Callithrix jacchus: one gene and its partners. The protein of the gene in region 3 binds, or shares a complex with, the protein of the main gene of each other region. Links are inferred from orthologs where the notes say so. Each region holds a gene or a part of one and is shown on either strand. Other genes may lie near its edges. The genes, in order: STX5, BET1L, STX18 and VAMP7.

Region 1 (7,730 bases), on a different chromosome or scaffold from region 3:
TAATCCCAGTGGGACCTGAGTAACTTTAGTATTTTTTTGGAGACTGAGTCTTGCTCTGATGCCCAGGCTGGAGTGCAGTGCCCCATCTTGGCTCACTGCAACCTCTGCCTCCCAGGTTCATGTGAGTCTCCCTTCCTCAGTCTCAGGAGTAGCTGGGACTACAGGTGTGCATCACCATGCCTATCTAATTTTTTTGTGTATTTCTAGCAGAGATGGGGTTTCCCCATGTTGGCCAGGATGGCCTCAACCTCCTGATCTCGTGATCTGCCCATCTCGGCCTCTCAGTGTGCTGGGATTACAAGTATGAGCCACTGCACTGGCCTATTTTTTATTTCTGTAGAGACAAGGTCTTCTTTTATTGTCCAGTCCAGAGTGATCCTCCCATCTTGGCCTCTCAGAGTGCTGGGATTACAGGCATGATCCATGGCATTTGGCTCTGAACCCTCTGTTTTCAAGGCCAGGTCTGGGCACACATCGTTTCCTCTGCTTGGAATGTCCTTCCATTGCCTCTACACAAGGCTTGAATCTACACAAGTTCAGATTTCACCCCCATTATCATGTCTTTCCTTGTACCCAGACTGTCTCATTCATCTTTTTGTAAAATCTTGCTGTACCATTTGCCTTCTATATTCATTTTTTTTTTTCAGAGTCTCGCTCTGTCACCAGGCTGGAGTGCAGTGGCGTAATCTCGGCTCACTGCAACCTCCACCTCCTGGGTTCAAGCAATTCTCCTGTCTCAGCCTCCCGAGTAGCTGGAACTACAGGCGTGAGCCACCATGCCCAGGCAATTTTTGTATTTTTTAGTAGAGACGGGGTTTCACTGTGTTGGCCAGGATGGTCTTGATCTCTTGACCTCGCGATCCACCCGCCTCGGCCTCCCAAAGTCCTGGGATTACAGGCGTGAGCCACTGCGCCTGGCCTTCTAAACTCATTTTAAGGATGGGTCTATGAAACTGGATACCTATTCTAGATAATAAGCCGTTAAAGGCACGAATCTTTTTTCTTCTCCACTCTTGTCGCCCAGGCTGGAGTGCAGTGGTGCAATCTTGGCTCACCGCAACCTCCGCCTCCCGGGTTCAAGTGATTCTCCTTCCTCAGCATTCCGAGTAGCTGGGATTACAGTGAGTGCCAGCTAATTTTTGTATTTTTTTTAGTAGAGACAGGGTTTCACCATGTTGGCCAGGCTGGTCTCCAACTCCTGACCTCAGGTGATCCACCTGCCTTGGCCTCCCAAAGTGCTGGGATTACAGGCGTGAGCCACAGTGCCCACCCAGAGGCAAGAATCTTGCCCCAGTTAATGTTAACGCTGCCCACCTTGATGCTTTGCCTATGGTGGATGATCAGCAAGTATCTACTGACTCAATGCAGGATGTTTGCACTTGCTCTAAAAACTTGCTCTGGGGCCAGGACTGTAACACCAGAACTTTGAGAGGCTGAGGCTGGAGGATTGCTTGAGGCCAGGAGTTCAGGACCAGGCTGGGCAATACAGCAAGATCCCATCTCTACAAAAATAAAAATAAATTATGGCCAGGCGTGGTGGCTCACACCTGTAATCCCAATACTTTGGGAGGCTGAGGCGGACATATCACTTGAGGTTAGGAGTTTTAGACCAGCCTGACCAACATGGTGAAACCCCGTCTCTACTAAAAATACTAAAGAAGTTAGCCGGGTGTGGTGGCAGGAGCCTGTAATCCCAGTTACTTGGGAGGCTGAGGTTGCAGTGAGCCAAGATTGCACCACTACACTCCGGCCTGGGTGACAGAGCAAGACTCGGTCTCAAAAAGAAAAAAAATTATGCAGGCATGAGGACATGTGCCTGTAGTCTCAACCACTCAGCAGGCTGAGGCTAGAGGAAAGCTTGAGCCTAGAGCCCAAGAGTTAAGAGCTGCAGTGAGCTAGGATCGCACCACTACACTCCAGCCTGGTCAACACAGTGAGACCCTTCTCTCTGAAAAAAAGAAACTTGCCCTGGGTCCCCATGGCAATGGAGAATGACAGAACCATAGAAGTGATCTGATTAGATTGCTGGGCTCTTCTGATGGCTAGTAGCTCACCTGTTTGATGATATATGTAAGCTCTTCAATTTCCACCGCTTTATCATCAAAGAGGGACTTGCGCTTTGCCACTACAGAGACAAACAAGAAGCCGCAATGGGCAAGGTGAAAGACAAAGCTCAGGGAATGTAGTCCTCAGCCCTCTGTGATGTACTACTGCCCCACTTCTGAAAGACCCCAAGAACACTCACAGATTGTCAGCTTCTCCAGCTTGGCAAATGTGTTGCTAAGGTCTTTCCCAATGCGCCTGCAAACGACCACTAGTGAGACTGGGAAAGGGCAGGAGAAGGCCTTTTCCCATATAAGCTCCAGCACAACCAATCCCAGACTTCACAGCCAAGGCCACTGAAGGCAAGCCTACTTTTCTTCAGACATTGTATCACCCCACCAGAAAGCTTCTCTCAACTCACTTGGCCATGAGGGTGAATTCACTGCGCTGTCGGACAGCACGCAAAGCTGGCTTATTTGTCTGGATTCCATTCTGAAAAGCAATGGCAGGAGGTGACAACTTTAGATCCCCCTTCCCCAGTTCCAGTTTTCACTCTTCCTCAGGTGTCCACTAAACTATCTCTAGTACTGGTGGCATCCATCCAATGATCTAGATTTATCAGTGGTAGTGGTTTAGACTCCAGATTTGAAGACAAGTAAACCGGAGTTCAAATCTTGACTCGCTACTTACTAGCTAGGGGTTTTGGGAACGAGTTACTTAAAACATTCTGAATCTCTTATTTCCCCTTCTGTAAAATGAAGACAATCCACACCTCTCCGCTTCTTGTTGCTAAGATTAAATAACAAAAAAGCTGAAAAGTACTTTCATCAACTACCTGGTACATTGTAAGCACTAAATAAATGGTAGCTTGTATTGCCATTCTATTCCTCAAATCGGGAAGTCAGTGAGGATGACTGCAAAGCCCTTGGAGATCACATAGAAGAGCAGCTTTACCAACAGATGAATAGTTAAAAAAAAACTTTTTTTTAACTGTTCTGTTTTTGAGACAGGGTCTCACTCTGTCTCCCAGGCTGGAATATATGATCATAGCTCACTGTGGCCGTGACATCCTTGCCTCAAGCGATCCTCCCGCTCAGCCTCCCAAGTAGCTGGGACTACAGGATACACCACCACACCTAGCTAATTTTTAACTTTTTGTAGAGACAGGGTCTTGCTATATTGCCCAGGCTGGTCTCTAACTCCTAGCCTCAAGCAATCCTCTGGCCTAGCCTAGGCCTCCCAAAGTGCTGGAATTACAGGTATGAGCCACCGTAACCAACCCATTGATTTTGATACAAATTACTGATCTAGGCCAGGTGTGGTGCCCAGACCAACCTGGGCAACATCGTGAGACACTGGCTATATCAAAAAAATAAAAAAATTAGCTGTGTGGTACATCCATGTAGCCCCAGCTGCTCAGGAGGCCGAGAGGTAAGAGGATCCTTTGAGTACAGGAGTTCAAATCTGCAGTGAGCTATGATCACACCACTACACTCCAGCCTGTTGATAGAGCTGAAATTAGATCTCAAAACAAAACAGAAACAAAACAACAAATTACTGATATAGAAAAATGTCCTTCGTCTTACAGAGATTAAAAACTAAGAAAGACATAACTAGATTAACTAATTTTCTCATGGTCACAGAGCAAACTTATGGCAGAAGTATACTGGAAAATTCAAGGTGGATGTCTCTCAGCTAAAGGCTCTTCCTACAACTTGTTCCTTATTCACACCAATTATATTGCAGCCAAGTCTGGCCCTGAAGTACTCTCTCCAGAATAGCAATCCTGCACTCCAGGGGATTCCTCATTAAAAAATGTCTAAGTCCTTGCCTCTAATTAGCCAGCCGACCTCTTCTCTGTTACTTATAGCAGACCTTACTAGCCCCATCCAAGCCTATCAGTTCCATCAGGTTTCCCCAAGAATTACTTCAGTTAACAGTGCTGGAGCACAGTCCTTCCTAGATTTGAGTAAGAGTCACTCCTCACCTTTTCCACTGCAGGTCCTTACCTGACGGCTCTGCAGCGACTTGCAGGCAGACAGAAACTCCTGGGTCCGATCCCGGCAGGACATGGTGTCGGGAGGGGGAGGGACGAGGGCCACTGGGGGGGGCAGAGGGGCGATGTCGTTGCTGCTACTGCCAGCAGTTGCAGGGGACAGGACCTGTGTCTTTGAGAGACCCAGGTAGACACCCTGATCCGTGTTCTTAGACCCGTAGCGTTTCCGCGGGATCATTGAGACGCATAACCTCGGACTGTTGTGGAGGGGAGAGTGTCATTTCCCCAGGCAGCTTCTTTACCCAAACTCCCCAGCCCCGTCCCAATCAACAAATCCTCGAGCCCCTTCTGCACTTTTTAAAGACTTTCGCGCCCAAGGCGCTCGCAGATCCTGGAGCAGGCCCGCAGCGGAAAGGGCCCCGATTTTCCCCTGGCCCAAGTCGAACCCTCTTCAGACTCTTCTTTCAACTTGGCTCTGACGGCCAAAACGCGGGCCGAGGACCCTGAAGCAGGGAGAGGGCCCGAGCCAAGTCCTGTGGTCCTGAGACTCTGGCCTGGCCTGTGTAACTGCCCCTACCCAGCCCTTTTGTATCTGCGGTTTCCTTCGGCCAGGGAGAGCGGGTGACGGACCTCCAGAGAGGGACACACTTCGGTGGGCGGAGGGGCAAACCTCTGGGTGTTTATTTGAAACAGGAAGTCCCACCCCCCGCCCAAGGTCCGCCTTCTGGAAGACTTCAATCACTCATTAGCTAAGGCCGACGTCTCTCTCAACAGAGGCTTTCCTAATTGGACGGCAAGGAATTCGCTCACCGGGAGCCGGGCCGGCAGGACTTGCCCGCTCGCCCCTGGTTCCCTTCCCCCCGCCAGTCGTCGCCCCCGTAAAACCACTACCCCGGAGCTGACACGGTGTCCAGACACCCTCTGAAAGCGAATCTTACCTCCCCTCTGCCGCCTGCCGCCGCCACCACTGCCAATCTCCCCGGCCGTCACCGCCTCCTCCCTGGGAACCGAAGCCGCCGAAACCCGACCAAAGACTGGAAGCGGCCACGTCACCCACACGTAGCCCCACCCCCGGTGACGACGGGGCGGTCCCACACGTTTTCGAGCCCGGCTATCCGAGAGACACGCCCCTCACCAAACGCAAGAGCAACCCCACCATCCCATTGGCTAAGATACCACCATGACCCCGCCCCTGAAGACAACAGCCGGAGCCCAGGGGGCTGGGCCCGCCTCCGGGGAGGAGCCTTAAAGAGCCAGCCGCCCGGAGGTGTCCGCGCCCCGTCCCCAGAACGGTCTTGCAGGTTCACGTCAGAAATTTTATTCTCTGGAGGTACGGGTGGACTAAGAGCGGGTCTGGAGTCATCCCTTCTCCGGCTCCTCCTGGTTGCCTTCTCGGATCGGAGTCTCCTTCTTCCGAACCACGTCTGATTGCCTCTTGCTTGCCCGCGAGGAGCCCCGACGACTGAACAAGGATAGCCGCCGCCACAGCACAGTGATCAGAAGGCTTTCGTTCGACTTGTGATTCCGGTGGTCTGGGGCGTTCACGTGGATATTTTCGGCGCCTGAGGGGACGATGAGGCCTCTGAGCTCAGCCCTACCCTCAGGAAGCCCCCTCTCCCGCTCCCTGGGCCCTCTTCTTTTATCTGTGGCCTCACCTTCCCCGAGGTCCTCGGACTCTTCTTCCTGCTCATCAGACATCTGAAAGTCCTTGTCTTGGCAGCAGCCCATGGCCCCGCGCGGCCCCAGACTCCGTGCCACCCACACCAGCCTGCCTGGCTCCAGGCCCGGCTTTGTGACATTAGGTATCCCGTCACCCCAGCTCAGGGAGCCCCCACCTCAAGCTACCCCTCATTCCTTTCTCCCATCACAAAAGGCTCAGGGTCATGGAGGGTGTTTAGCTGTTTATTTACAAACTGGGCACAGAGGGGTGTCAGGGGCTGGTGGACCCAGGCCGCTTCTTCTTTCTCCGCCTGGTTTGGAGAGCTCCTTGGGTCTGCTCCAAATCTGAGAGCTTCCGCTTGGCAGCTGCCTCCAAGGATGCCCAAAGTTCATCTGTCTCTGTGTCTTCTAGGGGCACGTTGTTGGGTTCTTGAGGTTCTTGGGGCTCATCCTGGTGAGTGGGAAGAAGCTTCACAGTCAGGGGGGCCGGGCACAGTGGCTCCCGCCTGTAATCTCAGCACTTTCGGAGGCCAAAGCAGGATTGTTTGAGCCCAGGACTTAGCGACCAGACTGGGTAACATAAGGAGACCCCGCCTCCACAAAAAGAAGTAAAAAACTTCTGGGTACCACCACCTTTATTCCCCACTCCCAGAAAGCAGCCCCATCCATATTCTTGGCAATAACCCTCTCAGGATTTTAACTGTTAATGCCTCTCAGAGAAATTAAGTGACCAGAGAGGTAAAGAGAGGGTCCCAGGTCTGCATTCCAGCTGCCTCCTTTTCCTCTCCATAGGGAGGTCCTCACATCTATGCCCTTGGCTCCCACATTCCTGACCCAACTGCTCACCTCCCAGTTGTCCCTGTCTGACAGGAGGAGGCAGTTCAATTGAGACTTGAGATAAACCTGCAGAAGATGAGAGGCCTTAAGGAGCCAGGCATGCTGAGACAAACATGAATGGGGGGCACAAGGAGGCTGGGCTTCCACAAGACCATGAGTTGGGGGTAGGAGGGATCACTTACCTTATGCTCCAGACCCCGTGGATTCTGGATCCTGTGTATCCTCAAGACTCTGTCCAAGCCACAGGAGGCCAGTAGAGGCTTGGAAGGGTGGCACTGCAACCCACGGACACTGCCTGCCAGCCCCTTCAGACAGCCCAGTAGACGCCCTGAAGAAGGGGCGGAAGCATCAGTGATAACTGGCTGGCCAATAACCAACCATTCATTATTTTCTGTTTCAATCACTTTCCATTTCAACACTTAATCTTCAACAAAACTCTGAGACTGGAGCGTCTACTAATAGTTCCATTTCGAAGGTGAGGAAACCAAGGTACAGGGAGTTGAAATAATTAGTTTAAGGTTGGGCCAGGTGCGGTGGCTCACACCTGTAATCCCAGCACTTTGGGAGGCAGAGGAAGGTGGATCACAAGGTCAGGAGTTCAAGACCAGACTGGCCAATGTGGTAAAACCCTGTCTCTACTAAAAAAATACAAAAAAACCTAGCTGGGCATGGTGGCTCATGCCTGTAATCCCAGCTACTTGGGAGGCTGAGGTAGGAGAATTGCTTGAACTGGGATCAGGGAGGTGGAGGTTGCAGTGAACTGCGATTGCACCACTGCACTCCAGCCTGGGCTACAAAGCAAGACGCCATCTCAAAAAAAAAGTTTTAGGTGGTACAGCTTTTGGGGAAATCAGGATTTGAACCCAGGCAATTTGGCACGGGCATGAGGCCTCACTGGCCCCACTGCACCACCTTAGAGGGAATCCTAACCCTTATCCCCGCTCCTTCCTTTCCCCAAACATACCCTAGTCCACTCACCTTGCCGAAGGTCAATTTCTGCCAGCTGCCCATGAGTGTTTCCCACAATCACTGAGCTGAGAATGAGATCAGAGGCAGGCGGGGTCAGCAGTAACCTCCTGGAGCCCTTCCCAAGCCCCACCCTCCCATGCCTTCCCCTCTAAACACTCACTTGCCTCCAGGAGTGAGGGTCATGGCTGTTAGTGGGTACTCTCCATAGGTGGTCTCTAGGACTGGC
Region 2 (7,905 bases), on a different chromosome or scaffold from region 3:
CAGGTGCACGGGGCTGAGGGTTAGGGTCGGCCCCTCAGAAAACTCTGGTCTGGCACAGCAGCAGCAGGGTTGCCACTCTCCCTTTGCAGGATCTTAACACAGCAAGAGTAAGACGCAGATAAGCAAACCAGAAAGAAGTCCAGCCCAGACCCCAAAGTACCTGGGAGGGCTGCAAACAGCTGTGGAGATGGAGAGACAGGGAGGGAATACAGAGACTGCGTCTCAGAGACGACAAAGGTCACCCCGAGTTGCAGCCTAACTTCCTAGTTTGCATCAGCAAGATGAGCGGGTGCCACTAAGGAAACAGCACGGGGGTCTGGTTCGGTTCCCACAGCTCAGTCACATTCCCCAGAAATGGAGGTCAGCCTTGAATGGCCCAGGAAAACATGCGGGATGGAGTTGGGAGACAATGCAGGCAGCCGCTACCCTACCAGGTAACCAAGGGACAAGCCCCTGATGAGCAGAGGACTAAGGCAAGCCATGGCAGGCAAGGACACTGGTGCCGGAAAAATGACAGGGGTCTGCAAAGGGACATCTGAAGAGGGGGCAGCAAGCTGGGAGCAACACCAGCCCAGCTAGGTTACAGGGCAACAGCAAAGCCCCAGAGAATGGAGGCAGTCGAGTAGACCTTGCTGGGTGAGAAGAAGCAGGCCTGCACTGCATGAGCGAGTAAGAAGATGGACTCCACTCCTCTGGGAGGCTGACAGTCTCAGCCAGGTACAAGGAAGGGGGCTGTGGTGAGCGTGCATGGAGAAAGGGGGCTTGCTGTGTGTAAGGGAGAAGGAAGGGAGGGGAAGGGTGAGCAAAGTGGGGCTGCAGGCTCCAGGCTGTGCCTTGTCTCTGGTCAGCCTGGAGCTCTGAGGCAGTTTGGGATGGACGGGACACATGGTGTGGCCACAGGTGGGGGGACAGTGAGCCCATAGTCTCCAGGGAGTGACTGGAAGGAACAAGATTGGAACAGGACAAAGAAGGGCACAGAAGCACACGACTCATACTTCAAAGGTGTTTTTATGCCAAGACAAGGGGGCTGGGACCTCATCTTGAGGTGGGAAGAAGTCATTTCCCTGCCAGTCCAGTGGTTTGAACATCAGCCCAGCCCAGGGAGAGGTGGGTAGGGTGGGCATCCTGCAGAGGCTAGAGACAAGAGGACAGCACGGAGCACCATCACAGTCAAGGGAGCCTGGCAGGGCTTGGCAGAGGGGCAAAAGTTACCAGCAAGCTAGGCGGCAACTGGAGTCCTCACAGGAACCTTCCTGTGTAGATCCACAGGTTTGCCTGACTCTGAAATGCCAAACAGGCCCACTTCTAGGTCTGCTCTCCCGAAAACACGTCTTTGGTGCTGGGCTGATCCTGACTCCTGAGAACGCAAGTTTCTGCTCCTGGATACAGTCACATGACCCAGAAGGATCCAGGCGCAGCCACTAGGCCAAGGCTGCAGTTCACTCCATCCACACCCCAGTTCTCCCCAAGGGTCTCACTTCATCCGCAGGACTGGAGAGCAGGCAGAGAAAACTCACAGCAGAGTAGCCCACGCTGGTCTGCCCATGCCTAGCAACCGTGGCCAGAAGGAACCGTCATCTCCAGGCTGAGAGGCCTCAGTCGGAGGAGATGGCACTCACTCAGGGTTCACAGTCCCTTCCTGTGTCAGCTCCAGGCACCTTGGATCACAGACATGGCCTCACCCAGACAAGGACACAGCCATAGGGCCTTAAGATGTCAGCGTCCCAAGAGCTGGGAGAAAGGCTGCAGGCCTCAAGTGGCTACGTCTGGGATTCAACAGCTGCTGCGCTTGGACCTGGCTCCTCCAGACATGCTGTGGCCCCAACTCTGCTGGTGTCTCTAGCACCTGGGGGAGGAGGGAGGGGCTGGCCCTTGGTTTCCCCAAAAGAGAGTCCCTTCCACAGCCAACATGAGCTCATCAGGTCACAGGCTGCCACAGCCTCCTGCCCCACAGGAAGAAGATTCCAAACCCACAATTGTAATTTCAAAGGAGTATTTTGTAGGTAAGTTCTCTGGAGCCCAAGACGCCAGGCACCCAGAGACACCAGCTCCCACTGGTTCACGTCCTTGCCCTCGACAAGAAGTAGGAGAGGATGAAGAAGACCACAATCAGACCCATGGCCATGCCACACAGAAGCTTCCGGTTGTCCCGTCCAGACCTTGCCATTGCGGAAAAGCGCTTCACACTCCCTGTAAGCAGGCCGGTCATGCTTGTGAAATCCGAGTCCTAAAGGGGGAATCCCAGCAAGATCACACAGAAGTGGTGATTTCACCACCCACCCGCACCAGTGCTGAAGGAGACACTGCAGGCTCTACAGCAGGTAGTGTTGGGGCAGGCCCTTACCATGCCATCCAGGTACCGGTTCTGATCCTCTGCGTCCCTGTCGATGTCCAGGGCAAGCTGTTCAGCACAGAGAGGGCAGGGTTGGGCCAGAGCAGACACATAATGCAGCACTCACCCTCCCCAGACCAGACAAGCCCTGCCAACAACTCTGCCAGAGTGCTGCAGCAGCAGAGAGGTCCAGGTGGGGCCTCATGCAGGTGAGCACAGCCACAAAGCACATGAGGATAGAAAACTGCCTGAAACTCCTCTGGGCCGTCTGCCTTTCCTCTGACCCCCACCCCCCAAGGGCACATGGTAGAGGTAAGAGGACAGGAGACCACCACTGACCGATTTGAGCCTGGTGACTTTGGAGGCCAGGCTGTCGGTCATTCGCTTGTTCTCCCGGTCTAGTATCTCTTCCACAGCACCAGGACTCTGACCTGAGAAGAGAGAGAGGCTGAGGGGTTGCATCCACCGGTGAGCACGGCCCCTGACCCGTCGCTCCAACCACATCTGGGTGAGTTGGAAATCCAGGGGGACTGGGCCCTGTGTCTGCTGGGCAGGTGGCAGACACAAGGCCCTAACCAGGTTCCAGCAGGTGGATCTTGCACATGTGAGGCAGGCTGCATAAAGAACGATGTGTGTAAGTAAGCGCATGTCATGTGAACACACGCCCTGTGTACACATCCAGGTGGGGATGGGCAAGCACCCACAACAGGCTCGGTGCAACCAGCAGTTTCCCACACTGTGTAGCAGAAACTGCACCCAGCCCTGGGATGCTGGTAAGATGTGACACTTGCATCCATGGAGGTCCCATCTGTGTAAAAGTGTAGGAAAGGCTTGGGGAAAGTACCCAGCAGAGCAGTAGGAAGGCTCCTACAGGGGCGACTTCAGAGCTGGCTCCTGAAGAGGTGGCAAGGAACCAGGACAGAATGTTGAGAAGGCGCTTTACCGCACAAAAAAAGGTCTGAGCCAAGCTCCCAATTCCCCACCATGGGAGCTGAGGTCGACCAAGAGAGGGATCCTTGGTCTGCATCCCACAGAGGGCTTCCCGCAACACCCAGAGCATAGTGCTTGCAGCGGCCTGGCCTGTGATGTGATAGGCTGGGCCAGGTGATAAGGAATTTCTGTCACATCAGGTAGGTGAGAACCACCTGCTGCCTAGCTTCAATGTAAGCAACGGGTGCAACACAGACAGGCAAACATCAATATCCCACTTTGCAGACAAGAACACGGGCTCCGGGAGGGGGACTGGGGCCATCGAGGCCCAAGTTAGCAGACGCCTGCTTGGACACCAACGGTGCACGCGTGGCCTGTACTCCTAGGGCCTGGCCCCGGGACCTGCCGAATGCGGAGGCTCCCGCACCCCGAACCCACGCAGAACGATCTCACAGGGAATGGCGGAGAGTTGGGGGACCCCGCAGCTGCGCGACCCCTCGCTGGAGCGGCTAGGCCGCCCCCTCGGACCCGGAAGGATCCGAATCTGCCCCCGTGACAGGGTCCTCTCCGCCGAGGACAGTTTAGAGGCAGGCGTACGCGGCTCTGCAGGTAACAGCGTCGGCTCCGGCCGGGCCCGGCCCCGCCCCCAACGACTCCGCTCTCTGGCGCTCACCCCTAGCCCAGTCCGCCATGGTGCCTTCCCCGGCTCTTCAACGCCGACACCGACGCGGCAACCGCCGCCTCGGACGTGGCGCAGTCAAGGGGCAGGACTTCCGGCCCCGCCTCCGCAGCGACCACGCCCCTATATGCCCCTGCCCCTTCCGCCTTGAACTCGCTGACTTCCGGCTGAGGGCTACGAGTTGGGAACCGCCGGTCGCAGGAGCGCGGCACGGATGTGCCTTTCATTTTCCGCACCGTCCCAGGCTGGCGTGCAGTGACGCGATCTCGGCTCACTGCACCCTCCGCCTGCCGGGCCAAGCAGCCCTCCCGCCTCGGCCTCCCAAGGTGCTGGGATTACTGGTGTGCGCCACCGCGGATGTGACGTTTGTTGTTCCTGTGAGCGTAGGGCGGGGCGGGGCTGTTGGCTCGGTGCCAGGACTACGGTGTGGGATAGACGCTTCCGTGGGTTAGGTCCTAACGGCGGGGAAGGATTCACAGGCGCGTCATGAGGAGGGAGCAGGCCCCCCCGAGCAGGAGCCCTGTTCCCGGCCACTTCCTGTCGTCCGGTGTCAGCAAAAGCAGCGTTTCCTCGCTGCCCGTTTTGAAGCACAGCCTCGTGTCCTTTGGTGTTTGCTTGTGTGCCTTCCCCTCGGGAACAAAAGCTCCGCGAAAGCATGGACCTAGGAGTCCCGTTCGCCTGCGTTCCCCAGCAAACGCCTAACGAACCCGATGGCCCAGGACTGAAAAGTCCCCCACTTCGGCTCCCCCTCCACACCCCATCCGTTCTGTGGAGATCCAGGGGCGGCGCTGTGTGTGTGGCAGGGCGAGGTGGGGGCTGAGATCCTTTCCCGTTGGAAATTCCTGCCCAAGAAGCGCGGGTCACAAGGAGAGGGGTCAGTTCGGTCGAGGGCGACTCGGGTCTGGAAACCTTCGAACCGCCGCTTCGGCTCCAGGCCGCGCCCCCTGAAGGCGCCGCCCGACGCCGCACCCCGTCCCGGCCTCCCATGCGCGCTGGCGCGGAGCTCTCTGGGCCAGGGCGGGGCCGGCGAATTGCGGCCCGGAACGGCTGGGGCGGGTCCCGGGGGCGCCATGGAGCCCCGGGCGGTTGCAGCAGCCGTGGAGACGGGGAAGGAGGATGTGATTATGGAAGCTCTGCGGTCGTACAACCAGGAGGTGAGCCGCCGCCGGAGGCCGGAGTCGGGCACGCGTGGCAGGGACGGGTAGGAGAGCGAGGCAGGGGCTGTATCCGGAGGCCGGGGTCGGGCACGCGTGGCAGGGACGGGTGGGAGAGCGAGGCAGGGGCTGTATCCGGAGGCCGGGGGGGGGGGCACGCGTGGCAGGGACGGGTAGGAGAGCGAGGCAGGGGCTGTATCCGGAGGCCGGGGGGGGGGGGCACGCGTGGCAGGGACGGGTAGGAGAGCGAGGCAGGGGCTGTATCCGGAGGCCGGGGTCGGGCACGCGTGGCAGGGACGGGTGGGAGAGCGAGGCAGGGGCTGTATCCGGAGGCCGGGGGGGGGGGCACGCGTGGCAGGGACGGGTAGGAGAGCGAGGCAGGGGCTGTATCCGGAGGCCGGGGGGGGGGGGCACGCGTGGCAGGGACGGGTAGGAGAGCGAGGCAGGGGCTGTATCCGGAGGCCGGGGGGGGGGGGCACGCGTGGCAGGGACGGGTAGGAGAGCGAGGCAGGGGCTGTATCCGGAGGCCGAGGGGCGGGCACGCGTGGCAGGGACGGGTGGGAGAGCGAGGCAGGGGCTGTATCCGGAGGCCGGGGGGGACGGGCACGCGTGGCAGGGACGGGTGGGAGAGCGAGGCAGGGGCTGTATCCGCGAGCACAGGGGACACGGCGGCGTCGGGGGGGCCAGGTCCGGGATGCGATGTTGAGGGGAGAGTGTGGGGTGCACCGCTGGGTGGCAGGTGCGTAGGGATGGGGGCGCGTGTAGACCCTGCCATCCGTTCTGAGCGGTGGCCGCCGCCCATCAGCGGACGCGGAGCCTGCCCCTCTCTGGACTTGAATTCACTGTTTCTCTCTGCAGCACTCCCAGAGCTTCACGTTTGATGACACCCAGCAGGCGGACCGGAAGGTGGGTGCTGGCCCGAGGGGTAAAGGGGCAGGGACGGGTGGCCCCAGGAAGAGGGACCTGGTGGAGCCGCTCTTCTCCTTGCCCACAGAGACTGGCGGAGCTGCTGGTCTCCGTCCTGGAACAGGGCTTGCCACCCTCCCACCGTGTCACCTGGCTGCAGAGTGTCCGAATCCTGTCCCGGGACCGCAACTGCTGGGACCCGTTCACCAGCCGCCAGAGCATGCAGGCACTGGCCACCCATGCTGGCATCTCTGTCTCCGAGGGCTCCGTCCCTGAGTCCGCAGACATGGATGTTGTTCTGGAGTCCCTCAAGTGCCTGTGCAACCTCGTGCTCAGCAGCCCTGTGGCACAGACGCTGGCAGCGGAGGCCCGCCTAGTGGTGAAGCTCACAGAGCGCGTGGGGCTGTACCGAGTGAGGACCTTCCCGCACGACGTCCAGTTCTTTGACTTGCGGCTCCTCTTCCTGCTGACTGCACTCCGCACCGATGTGCGCCAGCAGCTGTTTCAGGAACTGAAAGGAGTGAGTCTGCTGACGGACACGCTGGAACTGACGCTGGGGGTGACTCCCGAAGGGAACCCACCCAAGCTCCTTCCTTCCCAAGAGACTGAGCGGGCCATGGAGATCCTCAAAGTGCTCTTCAACATCACCCTCGACTCCATCAAGGGGGAGGTGGACGAGGTGAGCACTGATGGCAACCCGTGGCTGGGTCTCAGCTCAGCTCCAGCATTTTCTGGACCTGCTTGCTTCCCACTGGGTACCTTCGGGTTTCTGAGTGTCAGACATGGAGAGGATAGGATCTCTCAGCCTATTGGGACAAGGCCAAGGAGATGCCAGTTTCGGGCTGGAACCTCAGGGATCCCCTTCTGGCTCTTGCTGCCTGGCAGGAGGGCTGTGTGGTGTCAGGGGAGACTGTAAGAGATCCTTCACCATGAGGCCATGAGTGGGGCTGACACACTGTGTGACCTCCCCAGGGAATGTGTTTCTACTCAGGGAGGTGATTTTTTTTTTTTTTTTCTGAGACGGAGTTTCGCTCTTATTACCCAGGCTGGAGTGCAATGGTGCGATCTCAACTCACCACAACCTCCACCTCCTGGGTTCAGGCAATTCTCCTGCCTCAGCCTCCCGAGTAGCTGGGATTACAGGCACGCACCACCATGCCCAGCTAATTTTTTTTGTGTGTTTAGTAGAGACGGGGTTTCACCATGTTGACCAGGATGGTCTCGATCTCTTGACCTCGTGATCCACCCGTCTCGGCCTCCCAAAGTGCTGGGATTACAGGCACGCGCCACCATGCCCAGCTAATGTTTTTTGTGTGTTTAGTAGAGACGGGGTTTCACCATGTTGACCAGAATGGTCTCGATCTCTTGACCTCGTGATCCACCCGTCTCGGCCTCCCAAAGTGCTGGGATTACAGGCACGCACCACCATGCCCAGCTAATGTTTTTTGTGTTTTTAGTAGAGACAGGGTTTCACCATGTTGACCGGGATGGTCTCGATCTCTTGACCCCGTGATCCACCCGCCTCGGCGGAGGTGCTTTTAAGAAGACAGAGGTGGTCATCTTTTGCCCCCAGCACTACCAAAGTCACTTAGGAGACCCCAGGGGGTCAGGCATGGAGTATGGGAGCTGCACAGTCAGTGCCACATATTCTTGGAGTGCAAGACAGTAGAGCCTCAGCAGGCAGCAGTGGGATGAGTGGGGCTCCTCACAGGAACCCTTCTTTCTTTGGTCAGGAAGATGCTGCCCTTTACCAGCACCTGGGGGTCCTTCTCCGGCACTGTGTGATGATTACTACTGCTGGAGACCGCACAGAGGAGTTCCACGGGTGAGGACATGGCTTTTTCTATGGCCACATTGTCTAGCTAGTGGTCCTCAACCCTGTGGACCAGAACCGCCTGAGAGCC
Region 3 (7,821 bases):
ACATCAGGCACTGTCCGAGGCACTGTGAGGGATGTTTCTTCTATTGCTTTTGTTTGCCCAACATTCCTTGAATTCCCACTCCCAGACACAGCACTGCCTTTTCCATGGTTCTGGTGGGGCTACAGACCTGAACAATTAGAGAAACATCCCTCTGGCCATAATGACTATCGTAGGAGAGAGCTTAGGATCAAGCAGAACCAATTAGAGTTCCTTCCTGGGGCTTTATGGATAAGAGCTAGAGAAAGAAGTTCTATCCCTGGATTTCCCAGTGACATGAGCTAAGGCATTTGCACTTTGTTCAGGTTAGTTTACGTTCTGTTACCCTCACTTGCAACCAAAAGAACTGAGACTCATGCAGGTACCTGCACACCTTTTCTTACTTCATCTAACAACTTTATAAGGTTGCCATTACTCACTCTATTTCAGACTGAATAGAGTGAGTAAATAAGGTAACCGAAATTAAGTAACTTCCCTGAGTTCATAGAGCAGGTAAGAGGCATTCAAATCCAAGTCTTTCTGCCTCAAGTTCCATTCGATATGCAGAATTAACTCAAGAAGAAGAAACTCACCACCATTCAGAAACCAAGGGAATTCTGGTTTAAAAATTATCTGAGGATGTAGGGGGGAGGGAGAGAGCAGCATTAAACCACGCCAAAGGACCTGGCTTCTACTCTGGCTCTGTCCTATGACCTCAACTGCCATGACTTTGGGCAAGTCCTTTTATTTATTCGGGTGTTAGTTTTCTTACCTATTAACCAAATGAACTCAAGGTCCTTTCGAGTGCCTAAAATAAATGGGTCTGCTCTAAGCATACAGATTCTACTTTTACTATATGCCAAGCGGATTTCAACTTGAATTGGTAATGGCTCCTGGGGTACCATGTTGTAAAGGACTCTGAGCTATAGGGATCCACTAAGAAATTAGCATTGGCTTCCACTATCACAGGGAAGAAGAGAAAGTAACAGCTGCACACCTGCCGCACATCTGCCATCACTGAAAGAGTTTCACATTGACAAAGAAATGCCACTGTCTTTTACAAATGCGGACAGTACTTCTGCACCACCACTGATTCGTCAGCACCTGCACAGGACTTTCACGCGTTCCTCGTGCACTTAACTTGGCTCCCTTAATGAAGTGCAAGAAAGCTAAGTGGTTTGGAAAGCATAGCTTGGTGCCACTAAAGAAAACACGTCTAAATGGCCTCCATGAGGAGAGGCGAGGTAGTTTAGGGGAACAATAATAATCAGTCTGGTTCCTTAAAACATATACATAAAGACTATGCGAGCAGGGTGACTCACAACTACCCAACTCAGCTGGTGAGTTAAGTAGGGTATTATCATGTCCATTTTATAGAAATGGAAAATGAGAGTCAGACTTGCCCAAGTTCACCCATTTCTAAGTACAAGAAGCCAGATTTGAACCCAAGGCCCAGATCCCTTTCCAATCCCACAGTCCTCATTAGTCCCACACTTCAAATGAGTTAACTCATCAAATTCCCATTGTAGAGTGACATATTCATTATTATTTGGAGTTGTTCAAATAATATAAGTTCCTCTCCCAAATAATCTGAAAAGTTGTTACTCTCCATTTGTAATTTAATGGGTAGACATGCATTTGAGTATATATAAATTTAGCAAAACTGAGCATAAAAGTTAAATGTTTAAAAGAACGATGCAGAAGAAAGCCTGTTGGTGGGAGGTGGGGAGGAAGATTTAGTTTCAATGCAATTTTATTAAACTTAATATAGCCTTTATAACAATTCAGTGAGATGGAAATCCGGCACCAGGCATATATTTGAGGAATGGAATGTAAGAACAGAAACTGAGCCAGACAAAATGCATCCTAGAAGTGACAGCAAATGCTTCAAGGAAGGCACTTACTAACAGGCATACTATAACTTACTACATTTCCTTAGGTCTGACAATCAGGGCTAAATCTGAATCAGGATATGTGCACCAGACTTTTCTGTATAAGGAATCCAGGCCAAACAAAATAACACCAAACTTTTGACACATCTAACTGTAGTGAAAGCACAGGACATCCATCACTAGTTCTTCTAGTTAAACTTTCCACAAGAAAAGATGCGGAGTGGGAAACAGTTGCAAGTATAGAAGATAACACACAAAGCAATGACAACAGAAAATCAAAACTGCTTAAAAGAATATATGTTTCCTCTAGGTCAGGGGGACTGTGTCCCTGAACAACACAGCCCATATACTCACTTGAGGTGATGTGACACGTACCCACATCAATACATAGCAGAATTGGAAGTTTCACTGCCATGTGGTCCAACCCTGTGACACATGGACAAAGTTCTTCTCAAACATCTCTAAAAAGCAGTCATCACTCTGTTTAATGACTTCCAAAGACAGGGAACTCAGCACCTTAAGGGACTGTTGCTGTTACTATCTCTGAGGCCCATAAACTCAAATGCCTAAAACACATTTTCACCACTCAGGGAGAGGTGGAAGTGGTTACAGGACTCTCCAAAGGGCTTGCCAACCCAACTGTTGCCTCTTGCCTCTCCAATTCCCAAATCCCCCCTTTCCTTGAGCAGGACTCAAAATTAGCACAGTGCTAATAAATCAGTGGTTTCAGAGTTAGAAGGGGCCCTTCAAAAGACAATATTATACCACAGTTCTACAAAAGGAACCCCAGGAAGTGCTTGGGACAAACTGGGAGTATAGGGAGGGAGAATGTCCTGTTTCTCTTCCTCTCATTTCAACCTAGGTAGCTCTCACTTTGATGTGTTATATAGAGAGGATCAAGGTAGTTTTTTAAAAGGAGGAGGAGGAAAAAAAAGGATCATTCACAGGTAAATAAAATAAGGTCTTAAAACTTGCTTAATGAAATCATGTAGCTAATAGTTGCACCGTCAGACAACAACCTGGTCTCTTGGCTCGCTCCATCTTTGGTGCTTTCTCTATCATATAACATCTGCCCACCTACAAGGCCAAATTCAAACTCTGCAGTGATATACAAAGCCCTTCAAGATCTCCCCCTGCTGCCACTCTATTCCAATTTTTATGAGAAGTCCCACATTCCAGTCCCACTCAAATGTTTATGAACCAACTTATGTCAGACAATTACCTACCTCCAGACCTTAGCGCACACTATGCTCTTAGCCTGAGATGCCCTTCCCCACCTTGTCTGTACTGAAACCAACTAATCCTCTTTCAAGACTTGTTTGAAGCATCATCACCTCTATAAAGCCTTTTCTGATCCTCAGGTAGAACTGACCACATTCTTCTTTGTGCCCTACACAACACTTACAGGGCTTTACAGTACTTGTTTTATTTCTATGTCCGTATCCTCAACCACTCCTTTTACATCATGTTACTCTAACATGAGGCTGGTCAAAAGGTAAGTGCTTCATAGATGTTCATCAATGGGGTAAGTGTATTCATCTGGTCCAATCCCCTTTCTGAGGTTTAAGTATCTTCAGCTAACTGTCATTAATGCACGCATGCATACATTCATTCAAAAATATCTGAATGTCTATACAGTGCCAAGTGCATGCCAAGCAGAGGTAGATTTAGCGTGAAATTAATGAAGCTTAAGCTTCAGGGTCCCTCACTTCAAACTTCCAAAGCTCTCAACCTTTCTTGGCGGTTTTCTTCTTAAAAAGAGGAGACAGAATTATATAAGCTTTAGGCCCCACAAAAACTAGATCCCCACTTGGTGTCACATATACAATAGGGAACAAGACAAACATCTCTCCCGTTGTGCAGTTTTCTGCCTCGTGGTAAAGACAGCCATTTATTCATTCATTCATTCAACAGACATTTACTAAGCAATGCTGTATAAGTCATGCATTCTGAGATGAAAACAACACTGTCCCTTCCCTTAACGAAAAGGTTCCTAGTCCCAGGGAGATGAAGGAACACCTGCTCTGTCCAGGAAACAGAAAGTAGTTGAGATGACTTAACACTGTGAAAGATTATCCTAAACCTGTCTCAAGCGGAACTGAGTCCTACTTATTGCGAAGACAAAGTAAAGAAAGAGTTCGGTTTAATACGGTTTTAATCTCAACTGGGGGTGGGAGGCAGGCAAGCAAACAGAACAGGCAAATACAGTGTGGTCAGTGCTTCGACAGGAAGCGAAGGACTGTGAGGAAACTTCCCGAGTGCAAGTCTGTAATGACAGCGATCTCATGACCTCACAAAGCCGCCCATGCACTTTCCAGATAGAGATTTCTGAGCGTCTTCTTCTTCGCCCCCTAAACCCCGCCGCCGAAGGAGAAATCCGTTCCCCAATAATGCGTCCCCCTTCCTCAAAATAAGGCTGCTCCTTCCCCCAGAAGCTGTCGGCTGAGGCCAACTGTACTGTCCTCCTTGGGGCCACACTCTTTACACAATGCTTAAGGGACGAGGTCTGGTTTGGGGCCTGGGGTCCCTGTCGCAGGTCTGTCCCCTCCTCAAGCCGCCGTTTCCATAGCAACCAGCTTACCACTTCGCGGGCCCGGCTGGAGAAGTCGCCCTTGGGCCTGGGGCTCCGGCGGAACAGCTCATCCCGGCTGCCATCGACCCCGCCGCCCACCGCCACTCCCAGCGCCTTGTTCCGCGTCTTCACGGTCTTGACGCTGGCCCGGAATAGCAGCGTGATATCCACCGCCATAGCGACCCGCACCCGCAGCCCCAAACGGGACCCGCCCACGTCAGCAGCCAGCGACCGCGGCGCTAATCCGCCAGCTAGAGGACTGGTCCTACCCCGCACGCCTCCCCCCGGCAACGGTGGCGCGAGAAGAAAGGTTCCGGCCTGCGCCCGGCTACCGCGGCGGGAGGAAAAAGGTTCCGGCCTAAGCTGGCGCGCCTAGAGGAGGAGGGACCCGGCAACGTGCTCACGGGTAGTCCCTTCTCCAGGCAAAGCTTGGAGGGTTTAGCAGCACGGAGAGCTCTCCTATGTCTGTCTGGGGCTTGTGGGCTCCGGGAGCATAAAGACCGGAAAGCTGGGAAGTTCCTTCCCTTCTGGTGGCTCCCTCACTGAGCCCGGACGATTTGGTTGCGGGGGACGCGAAGGCGAGACCCCCTTGACCTTTGACTGCAAGGACTCACCCTGAGCATGTCAGAGGCACGTGGACGGTGACCCTCGGGGTGCAATAAGTGCTGGGACAGAGCAGGTGTGCAGGGCACAGAGCCAGAGGCCTTTGTTCTCCAGCCTTCCGCCACCTCTTCTGTAAAGGGAAGCCAGCATCCTCCTCGGAGTTTACTGTGAAAATTAAATGACCCGACGCGTGCTGTTTTGGTGTTTCTTGGCTCCCAGTAAGTGGCCAATAAATGGTAGTTATCGTTAATATGTTGTTATTATAATAATAAAAACATATTAATAAATGTTATTAATAAATATTATAATTAATAAATATTATTATAATCTTATTTGTGGTGAGAAAGAGGCTCTAGAGAGAAGGCGTCACCTGTGCAGAGATTTGAAGGATGAATAGGAACTTTAGATGGAGACAGAGGTGAAAGGGTGACCCTAATGCCGCTGGATTCTGTTCATCCTTCATGCATAGTTTTCAAATCTTGAGTCATAAACAATGACAAGTCAGTCAATGAGTTTCTTCTGCATTTTTTGGTTCATGGTTCTGGGGTGTGTGTGTGTGTGTTTAAGATGGGGGTCTCACTATGTTGCCCAGTGAGATTACAGTGGCTGTTCAAAGACGCCATCCTAGCTCACTACTCACTGGAACCCCAGGGCTCAAATGATCCTCCCCCGCTCCGCCTCCTGAGTGACGGGGACTTTGGGCATGTGCCACCTTGCCTGGCCTATGGTTCAGTGTTAAAACAAAATCTCAAGATTTTTTTTCATAAAGAGAATGCACAAGTAGAATATGTGTTAATGCAGTGGTTTAAATGGTCACCAATATAAAACTCTTTTCATAATACTAAGACGTTACTTGCCTTTTCACTCTCACTTCCTCATGAGTTGTATACACTTGAGTTTGTTAGAGACTGTGTGTGATATTGCAACGGAATGAATGCAGAACAGCTGTTTTCTATTAAGCCAGACTTTAAAAAAGGTTTTCAAAGACATAAAAAGTTTTGGTTTTAGTTTCTCATATAGTAAATGTTGATAATGTCAATATAAACAAAAATTGTTTACAGCCCTTAGCAATTTTTAAGTGTGCAAAAGAGTTGAGACCAAAAGTTTGAGAACCACTATGTTAAAGAAATAAAGTTGATCAGAAATAGATGTCAAGAAAGTATATATTTACCAGAAAGGAGGAAGAAAAAGATTATTTAAGCCCAAACTGTAGCCATTCCTTGCAGTTTAAGGAAAATACATTTCCATACAGCTTTCTTCCACCTACTGAGGAAAAGTGAAAGAAATCACAAAATCTCTGCCAATGATTCTATCTTGCACAAATGGCCCTTTGTTTAATCCAGACATTAATGAGTTTTTGGCTATGCAAAGTTAAGCCTGGGGCACAGTAGAAGGAAAGAGAGATTGCTCTGCATAATTAAGTGAGGGGGATTGAATTAGGGGGGAAAAAAGAGAAGCCAGAACCAAGGGAGGGGCCAGGAAAGTACAAAGTAGGTAACTGGAAAGGATTTTTGAGTGAGAGGGAGGCTGAACTATATCAAGACTTCAGTGAGTGGTGCCTTGTGTGAACAGTGTGTTTGATGCAGTTGGATATTTTGGGTAGAAGGGTAGGGACAAAGATCTAAGTTTTCTGTGTGGATTTGCAAGAGCAGAGAAGATTGTAGTGGATATGAGTCCCAAGTGAGCTCAAAACATCAGGCTGTAAATCCACAAGTGACCACAGTACATAAAATTCCTAGAAAAGTCACAAAGATCTTGAGGAGGCTGCTGAACTTTCCACAGACCGTGGGATATGGGTTGTGCTTTTTAAATGTTGTGTTTACTCTTTAATTTCAAAGAGCAAAGTGACTTCGTTGACCATGGACTGTATTAAACTCCATGAAGCTGAAAGGGGCTGTGGATTAAAAGGGTGAGCAGAAATGTTGTGAGAGTTACTACTGCAGCTCCAGGGCTCAAATGATCCTCTCGGTTCAGCCTCCTGAGTAGCTAGGACTATAGGCGTGTGCCACCGTGCCCAGCCTGTTGGATGTAGTGCACAGATCATGTTTTCTTTATGCGTTCAGCAGACATTGATTGGGCCAGACACTGTTCTGAAAAATACGCAGTCGACTCTTGAACAACACAGGCTTGAACTGCACGCTTCCACTAATACTCAGACTTCCTTCTGCCTTTGCCACCCCTAAGAAAGCAAGACCAACCCCTCCTGTTCCTCAGCCTACTTGGTGTGATGATGGTGAGGATGAAGACCTTTATGAGGAAAGACCTTCAAAAACATATACCTTCACATTAGGAAGTAAACTTAATTAAATTCATTGAAAACCTTTTTTTCCCCCCCTCAGGGACTCTAGAAAGGTCCCTGACTCTAGGGCTGAGAAGCTCGAAGAAGAAATGTTTATTCCCGAGAGGGAACCTAGATAAAGAATTCAGGATTTCTTCCTTTCTTTCTTTCCCTTTCTTTCTTTCCCTTTCTTTCTTTCTTTCTTTCTTTCTTTCTTTCTTTCTTTCTTTCTTTCTTTCTTCTTTCTTTCTTTTCTTTCTTTCTTTCCTTCTTTAGATGGAGTTTGCTCTTGCTGCCTAGGCTGGAGTGCAATGGCACGATCTTGGCTCACTGCAACCTCTGCCTCCTGGGTTCAAGCAATTCTCCCACCTCAGCCTCCTGAGTAGCTGGGATTACAGGCATCCACCCCCCTGCCCAGATAATTTTTTTTATTTTTGTATTTTTAGTAGAGACAGGGTTTCACCGTGTTAGCCAGGCTGGGGTCTTGAACTCCTGATCTC
Region 4 (7,867 bases), on a different chromosome or scaffold from region 3:
TCTGTTGGGGGGAATAGGGGAGGGACAGCGGGGCGGGGGAGCTGGGGAGGGATAGCCTGGGGAGAAATGCCAAATGTGGGTCAAGGGGAGGAAGGCAGCAAAACACACGGCCATGTGTGTACCTATGCAACTATCTTGCATGTTCTGCACATGTACCCAAAACCTAAAATGCAATACACACTTGGGTCTACCGGGGGGAATAGGGGAGGGAAAGCGGGGTGGGGAGCTGGGGAGGGATAGCCTGGGGAGAAATGCCAAATGTGGGTGAAGGGGAGGAAGGCAGCAAAACACAGTGCCACGTGTGTACCTATGCAACTATCTCGCATGTTCTGCACATGTACCCCAAAACCTAAAATGCAATAATAAAAAAAAAGATGCTACCTATGAAGTCTTACCTGCCCCCATTGTGTCTTGTAATAGAATCCATAACATCTTGATGAGTACTGGGATAACAAAACAACTGCAGCACAGTGAACACTGCACTTGAAGTTGGAAAACCTGGCTCTGCTAATTATTAGCAGTATGCAAATGTCTCATAAACCGTTAAGTGCTATATAAAGATAAGACTCAAGAAGAAAAAGAATGGAAAGCTAAACCAGAGAAAGGAAGAAAAAGAGAATGCAATATAAAGGAAAGCCCTGAATCAACACTGTTCCTTTTTGTTCTCCTATTCATTCCTCACTTGGTCCCACAGCCATCATCCCAGTTTTACTTCATTACCGCTAAGAATCCTGTATTCGTTTCTTGTAACTGCTGTAATAAAGTACCAAAAACTTGGTGGCTTAAAACAACAAAATGTATCGCCTCCCAGTTCTGAGGGCTAAAAGTCCAAAATCGAGGTGCTGGCAGGGCCATGTTCCCTCTGCAACCTGTAGGGGAGGATCTTCCGTTATCTCTTTCTAGCTTCTGATAGTTTGCTGGCAATCCTTGGCATTTCTTGGCTTGGAGGTGCAGCACTTCCATCTTTACCTCTGTAGTTACACGGTGTTCTGTGTCTTTATATAGCATTCTCTCTGTGTCTCTTCCCTTCCTTTATATGGACCCCAGTCATACTGGATCAAGGGTCCACTCTACTCCACTGTGACCGCATTTTCAATTACATTTTTTTTTTTTTTTTTGAGACGGAGTCTCGCTCTTGTTAACCAGGCTGGAGTGCAATGGCGCGATCTCGGCTCACCGCAACCTCCGCCTCCTGGGTTCAGGCAATTCTCCTGCCTCAGCCTTCTGAGTAGCTGGGATTACAGGCACGCGCCACCATGCCCAGCTAATTTTTTGTTTTTTTTTAGTAGAGACGGGGTTTCACCATGTTGACCAGGATGGTCTCGATCTCTTGACCTCGTGATCCACCCACCTCGGCCTCCCAAAGTGCTGGGATTACAGGCGTGAGCCACCGTGCCCGGCCTCCATTCTTGTATCATGAGCAGACCATTAAATTAACTGGCCCACTAAAGTAAGGCGGTAGACAAGGTGCTCGGGAAGAGATGGGAGATCATTTTAGGAGGAACGGATGAAACAAGAGAAGGCATAGAGGTGAGAACAAGGTAAAGAAGGTACATAAACTAGCCTGATGAGATGGAATGGTCCACCTTTGGTGAATGACAAGATTGAGGAATACAGCTGATGGCCTTACATAGAGAAGGTCTTGTATAAATCATGTCATTTAAATTTGATCAGATATGGAGTTTTTCTATTTCAGTTCAACACATATGTACTGAGGGCTTGCTATATGCTAGTCAAAGTAGACACTGGAGGTATAAAGTTGATGAAGAAGGGACTCCTATACTTGAGGGAGCCATGGTACAATGAGGAAGACAGATATAAATAAATGTGATAAAGTGTAATAAGTGAATAATCTAAGACTGTCCACAACCACTCAGGAAATTTCTTAATGCTTTGTGATGATCTCACCTTGGGTGAATAACAGGAATGTAGGTATCAGCTTATGCCTTAGGAATTTCCTCACTATACTGTTAGGATTATTTCTCCGTGGAAGAGAGGCCAAAGTGTCTATTTTACCCTACTTTCCCAGTGCTCAGCACGGTGCCTAGCAGTTAACCTTCCCTCAAGTATTTTTTTTCTTTTCTGAGACGGAGTTTTGCTCTTATCCAGGCTGGAGTGCAATGGTGCGATCTCGGCTCACCGCAACCTCCGCTTCCTGGGTTCAGGCAATTCTCCTGCCTCAGCCTCCCGAGTAGCTGGGATTACACCCAGCTAATTTTTTGTATTTTTAGTAGAGACGGGGTTTCACCATGTTGACCAGGATGGTCTCGATCTCTTGACCTTGTGATCCACCCGCCTCGGCCTCCCAAAGTGCTGGGATTACAGGGTTGAGCCACCGCGCATGCCCTCAAGTATTTGTTGAATAAGTAAGTGAACATTGAGCATACTTTGGTTTTAAATACACTATAAATGATAGATAACTTTATATTCAGAAAGACCTAGTAAGAATAATATTTTCACAACCAAATCACCTTTTGAAGTAAGATAAAGCAGTTGAGCTAACAGTAATCCAATCCCCAACTCTTCCATCTGGGAGTTAGAAAGAATAAAGTAACTACAGATAAACCAAGAATTCGGATGCAATAAGCTTGGAGGAGATAGAAAAAATGAAGAATAAACACTGCTTAGAAAGGGGAAAAGGAGAGGTGTTTATGAAGTCAGGTTATAGATCAAGATTATTCCTGTTAGTATTACAACTATTCTTTCTGGATGATGCTCTGAGACCCAATCCAATCTCTCTGACTTTCTTAGGATAGGATCCCACCCTTTCAAGTCAACCACCTGTTTTATTTCACATTAGGCAATATATAACATAATCCTATTTCTGTTTTCCCCTCTAGACACAAACATGTAAGTTCCTGAGTGTAGCAACCTAAGTCTTGTTTACAGCTGTATCCCCTGCACTTAAAAAGAGAGTCGGCCAGGCGTGGTGGCTCATGCCTGTAAAATCCCAGCACTTTGGGAGGCCGAGGCGGGTGGATCACGAGGTCAAGAGATCGAGACCATCCTGGTCAACATGGTGAAACCCCGTCTCTACTAAAAATACAAAAAATTAGCTGGGCATGGTGGCGTGTGCCTGTAATCCCAGCTACTCAGGAGGCTGAGGCAGGAGAATTTCCTGAACCCAGGAGGTGGAGGTTGCGGTGAGCCGAGATCACGCCATTGCACTCCAGCCTGGGTAACAAGAGCGAAACTCCGTCTCAAAAAAAAAAAAAAAAGAGTGTCAAGCACAGATCAGCCACTCAATAAATATTTGTTAAACATACGAATGGATCTGCTCTCAGCCACAAGTATTCAAAGGTAATTAATATCCCTAACATGGCTGTATCTCTGGGATCAAGGGAGGGAGAATGGAGATACAGGTAGTTGAAAGCAATAAATGAGGCCGAATGAAGACAGCTGATTGTGAGAGTTATGGGAGTGGGAGATGTAAAGCGTTTACCAAAGACGCTAGCACGTGGTCAGAATTTGATAAACATTGGCGGTTAATAAAAACACCAAACAGGTCTGAAGATGAGGAAACAGGTCTAGGCGGAGATACAGTTCCTAGCCAAACAGAGGAAGAAGTGGACTGTCAATAATGAGCAGTGGAGGAAGGGTGAATAAGGGGCCAGGAACCCACGAAGGAGCATAAACAGCCAGAAGTAGGTGAAGCGGAAAGTGACGTCATCGAATAAGGACGCAGAGAGTTTTTAGAAGACTCGGTCGATCTCAAGCGATTTAAATGGTACAGAAAAGTCTTGTAGAATGCAAACTGAGAGAAAATTAACATTTTTTCCCTCCTGTAATGACAGCTTAAGTGACGCATTCTGACACTCTTTTTAACTCGAGGCCTTTCCAGCGGCAAAAGACGCACCTCGCCGAAACCGGACCTGCCCGACAACCGGTACTGTGTACACCAGAGAAGCCCAAGTCACCCTTACACTGCCTACCCGCTCCACCCCAGCACCTTTCCGTCGACACCTTCCCTCTCCCTCCGCAGTTGTGTTTCCGCCTCCCACAGAGCGCGCCCCACTCCATTTACCTGTCCGGGCACCTTCTGAGGGCGCGCGGGCTCGGGACCTAGGGGCGCGGGTCAGCGCAGGGTCGCCAACTGCCCGCTCCCAGAGGAGGCTGGGACCCGACGCCGCTAACTTCCGCGTGAAGCGCCCCGCCTACGCGTGGCCTCTTGGGAATGGGAGCGCTCCTCCAATGGCAGCAGGCAACAGGGCTAGGCCTGCTAAGTTCCCAGCCCCGCCCCCCCCGCACTTCCCAGGAGCCGTAGTGCATTCCGGGAGTAGTAGTTCCGACTGGCCACGTTCCGGGGACAGCTCTGGCCGTAAACAACGTCAAACGCCGTATAGGGATCCACGCAAATGAGAGAATGCAGGCTAAAGATTCTACCTGTAATCCCAGCACTTTGGGAGGCCGAGGCGGGTGGATCACGAGGTCAAGAGATCGAGACCATCCTGGTCAACATGGTGAAACCCCGTCTGTACTAAAAATACAAAAAATTAGCTGGGCACGGTGGCTCGTGCCGGTAATCCCAGCTACTCAGAAGGCTGAGGCAGGAGAATTGCCTGAACCCAAGAGGCGGTGGTTGCGGTGATCCGAGATCGCGCCATTGCACTCTAGCCTGGGTAACAAGAGAGAAACTCCGTCTTAAAAAAGAAAGAAAGAAAGAAAGAAAAGATTCTACCAGCAGTGAGTAGGCGGCATAAATGAAGAGCCACGCTTGCCCCGTCTCTCCTGCTTAGTTTCAGTAGGCAACATTGCCTGTTTCTTCACCGACAAAATAGAATTCAGCTGACAGGAAGTGCCTCTATTTTTGCCATGAAATGTTCTTATTTTCTTGTACCCCTCACCAATCCTTTCTCCCATTCTTTAGCAATAATAATGATAACTACTACTCTCCTTTGATCTAAACCCATCCCTCTTCCATCCCTATTCCCTGTTGCCGAATCAGAGTCAAGCTCTTCTTTTATTTTTGAGACGGAGTTTCGCTCTTGTTACCCAGGCTGGAGTGCAATGGCGCGATCTCGGCTCACCGCAACCCTTCTGGGTTCAGGCAATTCTCCTGCGTCAGCCTCCCGAGTAGCTGGGAATACAGGCGCCTGTCACCACGCCCAGCTAATTCTTTATATTTTTAGTACAGACGGGGTTTCACCATATTGGCCAGGCTGGTCTCCTGGTCTCCTGGTCTCCAACTTCTGACCTCATGATCAGTCCACCTCAGCCTCCCAAAGTGCTGGGATAACACGCATGAACCACTGCGCCTGGCCCTTATTTCCTCCTTTTTGAACTCCTTTATTCTCTTAGCTCTATGCAAGATGCTATACACTCCCGCTTCTCCTCTTACCTCTGTGGCAGCTCTTCATTTTCTTTTGAAATGTTCACATTCCATAGGGTTCTATCCTACGCCATCTTCTCTTCTTATTCTTCACACTCTTCCTGGTGATCTTAATCATTCCCCTTGCTTTATCTTCCCTCTGCAAAGATTCACATTTCACATTATTAAAATTATATTGCATTCAGTATCTATTCTTTAAGAGGCAGCATATTATATTAGAAAAAGAATAAGTTTTAGAGTCAGACAGATCTGAGTTACTAAGCTGTGTGAACTCTAAGTGTTGGCTCTCTTTAGACCTTTCAGGACTCTAGCAAATCCCCTTACTCCTTATTCTCTCCTAAAGTAATCTCATCTGTACCCTAAACTTTATAATATAATTAGCTGTCCATGTAAGACGTGCCTGATTCCCCTTTGCCTTCCACCATGATTGTAAGTTCCCTGAGATCTCCCTGTCAGAGGTATGTGAATCAAAACAACTTTATCGTGAATAGCAGCTGGGTAAAATGAGGCTGAGACCTACTGGGCTGCATTCCCAGATGGTTAAGGAATTCTAAATTGCAGGATGAGATAGGAGGTCAGCGCAAGTTACGGATCATAAAGACCTTGCTGATAAAACAGGTTGCAGTAAAGAAGCCAGCTAAAATCTGACAAAACCAAGATGGCGACAAGAGTGACCTCTGGTCGTCCTCACTGCTACACTCTCACCAGTGGCATGACAGTTTACAAATGCCATGGCAACATCAGGATCTTACCTTCTATGGTCTAAAAAGGGGAGGCATAAATAATCCACCCCTTGTTTAACATGTCATCAAGAAATAACCATAAAAACAGGCAACCAGCAGCCCTCCCGGATGCTCTGACTATGGAGTAGCCAGTCTTTTGTTCTTTTACTTTTGTAAATAAACTTGCTTTCACTTTACTCGATGGACTCGCCCTGAATTCTTTCTCGTGGGACATCCAAGAACCCTCTCTTGGGGTCTGGATCTGGACCCTCTTTCTTGTAACATCCCGGCCATGTTCTTGTAGAGCCTGTAGAACTGTGAGTCAATTAAACCTCTTTTCTTTATAAATTACCCAGTCTCAGGTAGTTCTTTTTTTTTTTCTTTGAGATGGAATCTCGCTCTGTCACCCAGGCTGGAGTGCAGTGGCATGATCTTGGCTAACTGCAACCTCCGTCTCCCAGGTTTAAGTGATTTTCCTGCCTTAGCCTCCTGACTAGCTGGGATTACAGGTGCAGGCCACAATCCCCAGCTAATTTATGTATTTGTAGTAGCGATGGGGTTTCACTTTGTTGGTCAGGGTGTTCTCGAACTCCTGACCTTGTGATCCATCTGCCTTGGTCTCCCAAACTGCTGGGATTACAGGCACAAGCCACGATGCCCAGTCTCTCACATAGTTCCTTATAGCAATGCAAGAATGGGCTAATACACCATTTCATCATGTTGCCAAAGAATGGAATCACCTTTAGTAATTGATGATTTTAGATAGTTTGAGTTTATGGAATAAAGGTTTTGCTTGCCATTTTCAGCTACCCAGCCTGGAATTATAGAATGAAAAGTTTAGAGAGAACCTGATCCAGTTGTACATACAAGAAATTTGCTGGTCTTGGCAAAGATTACAAAGCTAAGAAGCTGGATTATAAACTGGCTCTCATGTACTAGGTGCTCCAGAGCACCTAGTACATGAAAGTACAAGAAAGTCTGTTGGGCTAATATGAAATAAACTTATCATATACAAAGCTCTAGTCATATCTGAGACTCTGGTTTTATATTCTGTTTAACAGGATTGAATCATGATGTGGTTTTTTTTGCCTTGAGTTTTATTTAATGTTTGCATAAGCTTATCCTTAATTAAGATGTTTTACCTCTTATATAATAAGGCATGGAAGTTGATGGTTTAAATATGTGAGGTCTTGATCAAAAAATTCTCAAGAGAATTGAGAGCAAAGTTGAAGGTCTATTAACAAAGACAGGTAGTTACCACCTGGCAGCAGCATATCTATACTAAAGACTGTGGGGTGTGTGTGTGTGTGTGTGTGTGTGCGTGTGCATGTGCGTGTGTGTGTGTGTGTACACCCATGCAAACCAGTTCAGGGGAAGGAGAGATTGGAGCAGAATTGTATAATCACAGGTTCAGAACAAAACACCTGTCCCCAACCCCACTTCATTTGACACTGGGAATTTCCCCTACAACCTTCCAACTTAGTGGTTGTCTTGGATTCTTGCTGGAGAAGGGACCTCATTCCCATCCCTTTCCCAAAGTCAAGTCAGAAAGATTTGTCTCAACAACAGTTAGGTGATATCCAAATCACTGGTCAGAAACTGGCCTAAAGCCTGCCACTTCATAATGTTTGTTCTGTGAACCATTCAACGAGTGAGCGAGTGAGTGAATGCACACAGCCTAATTTCCTTAACATGGTTATTTTCAGCATCTAGGGTTACCATAGTGAATGGTGGGGCACTGATAAACATGGCTATCTGGACATTTACAAAGAGCTCCTGTAGAAGTGTCCATCCCAGGGCTGGCAACTGCAGACCC

Evidence for each region.
Region 1: STX18 (region 3) and STX5 share a complex: the UniProt entries of both Homo sapiens proteins name them as parts of the SNARE complex. The link is inferred for Callithrix jacchus from reciprocal best matches to the Homo sapiens genes STX18 and STX5.
Region 2: STX18 (region 3) and BET1L share a complex: the UniProt entries of both Homo sapiens proteins name them as parts of the SNARE complex. The link is inferred for Callithrix jacchus from reciprocal best matches to the Homo sapiens genes STX18 and BET1L.
Region 4: STX18 (region 3) and VAMP7 share a complex: the UniProt entries of both Homo sapiens proteins name them as parts of the SNARE complex. The link is inferred for Callithrix jacchus from reciprocal best matches to the Homo sapiens genes STX18 and VAMP7.

Annotation. Positions count from the first base shown.
Region 1 is NC_133511.1:120,109,795-120,117,524, forward strand, and holds the start of STX5 (syntaxin-5), read right to left. Parts: upstream 5,076-7,730; 5' UTR 4,978-5,075; intron 4,297-4,977; 5' UTR 4,278-4,296; coding exon 4,053-4,277; intron 2,536-4,052; coding exon 2,465-2,535; intron 2,302-2,464; coding exon 2,246-2,301; intron 2,126-2,245; coding exon 2,055-2,125; intron 1-2,054. Other genes in the region: TEX54 (testis-expressed protein 54), read right to left, coding at 5,399-5,767; WDR74 (WD repeat-containing protein 74), read right to left, coding at 5,970-6,149, 6,545-6,601, 6,718-6,863, 7,514-7,569, 7,665-7,730. UniProt on the Homo sapiens protein: Mediates endoplasmic reticulum to Golgi transport.
Region 2 is NC_133511.1:131,723,435-131,731,339, reverse strand, and holds the start of BET1L (BET1-like protein), read right to left. Parts: upstream 4,022-7,905; 5' UTR 3,955-4,021; coding exon 3,936-3,954; intron 2,764-3,935; coding exon 2,672-2,763; intron 2,402-2,671; coding exon 2,345-2,401; intron 2,228-2,344; coding exon 2,060-2,227; 3' UTR 180-2,059; coding exon of another isoform or gene 21-179; 3' UTR 1-20. Other genes in the region: RIC8A (chaperone Ric-8A), read left to right, coding at 5,012-5,095, 5,954-6,001, 6,090-6,680, 7,735-7,826. UniProt on the Homo sapiens protein: Vesicle SNARE required for targeting and fusion of retrograde transport vesicles with the Golgi complex. Required for the integrity of the Golgi complex.
Region 3 is NC_133504.1:184,725,420-184,733,240, forward strand, and holds the start of STX18 (syntaxin-18), read right to left. Parts: upstream 4,702-7,821; 5' UTR 4,618-4,701; coding exon 4,450-4,617; intron 1-4,449. UniProt on the Homo sapiens protein: Syntaxin that may be involved in targeting and fusion of Golgi-derived retrograde transport vesicles with the ER.
Region 4 is NC_133524.1:151,448,782-151,456,648, reverse strand, and holds the start of VAMP7 (vesicle-associated membrane protein 7), read right to left. Parts: upstream 4,148-7,867; 5' UTR 4,025-4,147; intron 1-4,024. UniProt on the Homo sapiens protein: Involved in the targeting and/or fusion of transport vesicles to their target membrane during transport of proteins from the early endosome to the lysosome. Required for heterotypic fusion of late endosomes with lysosomes and homotypic lysosomal fusion.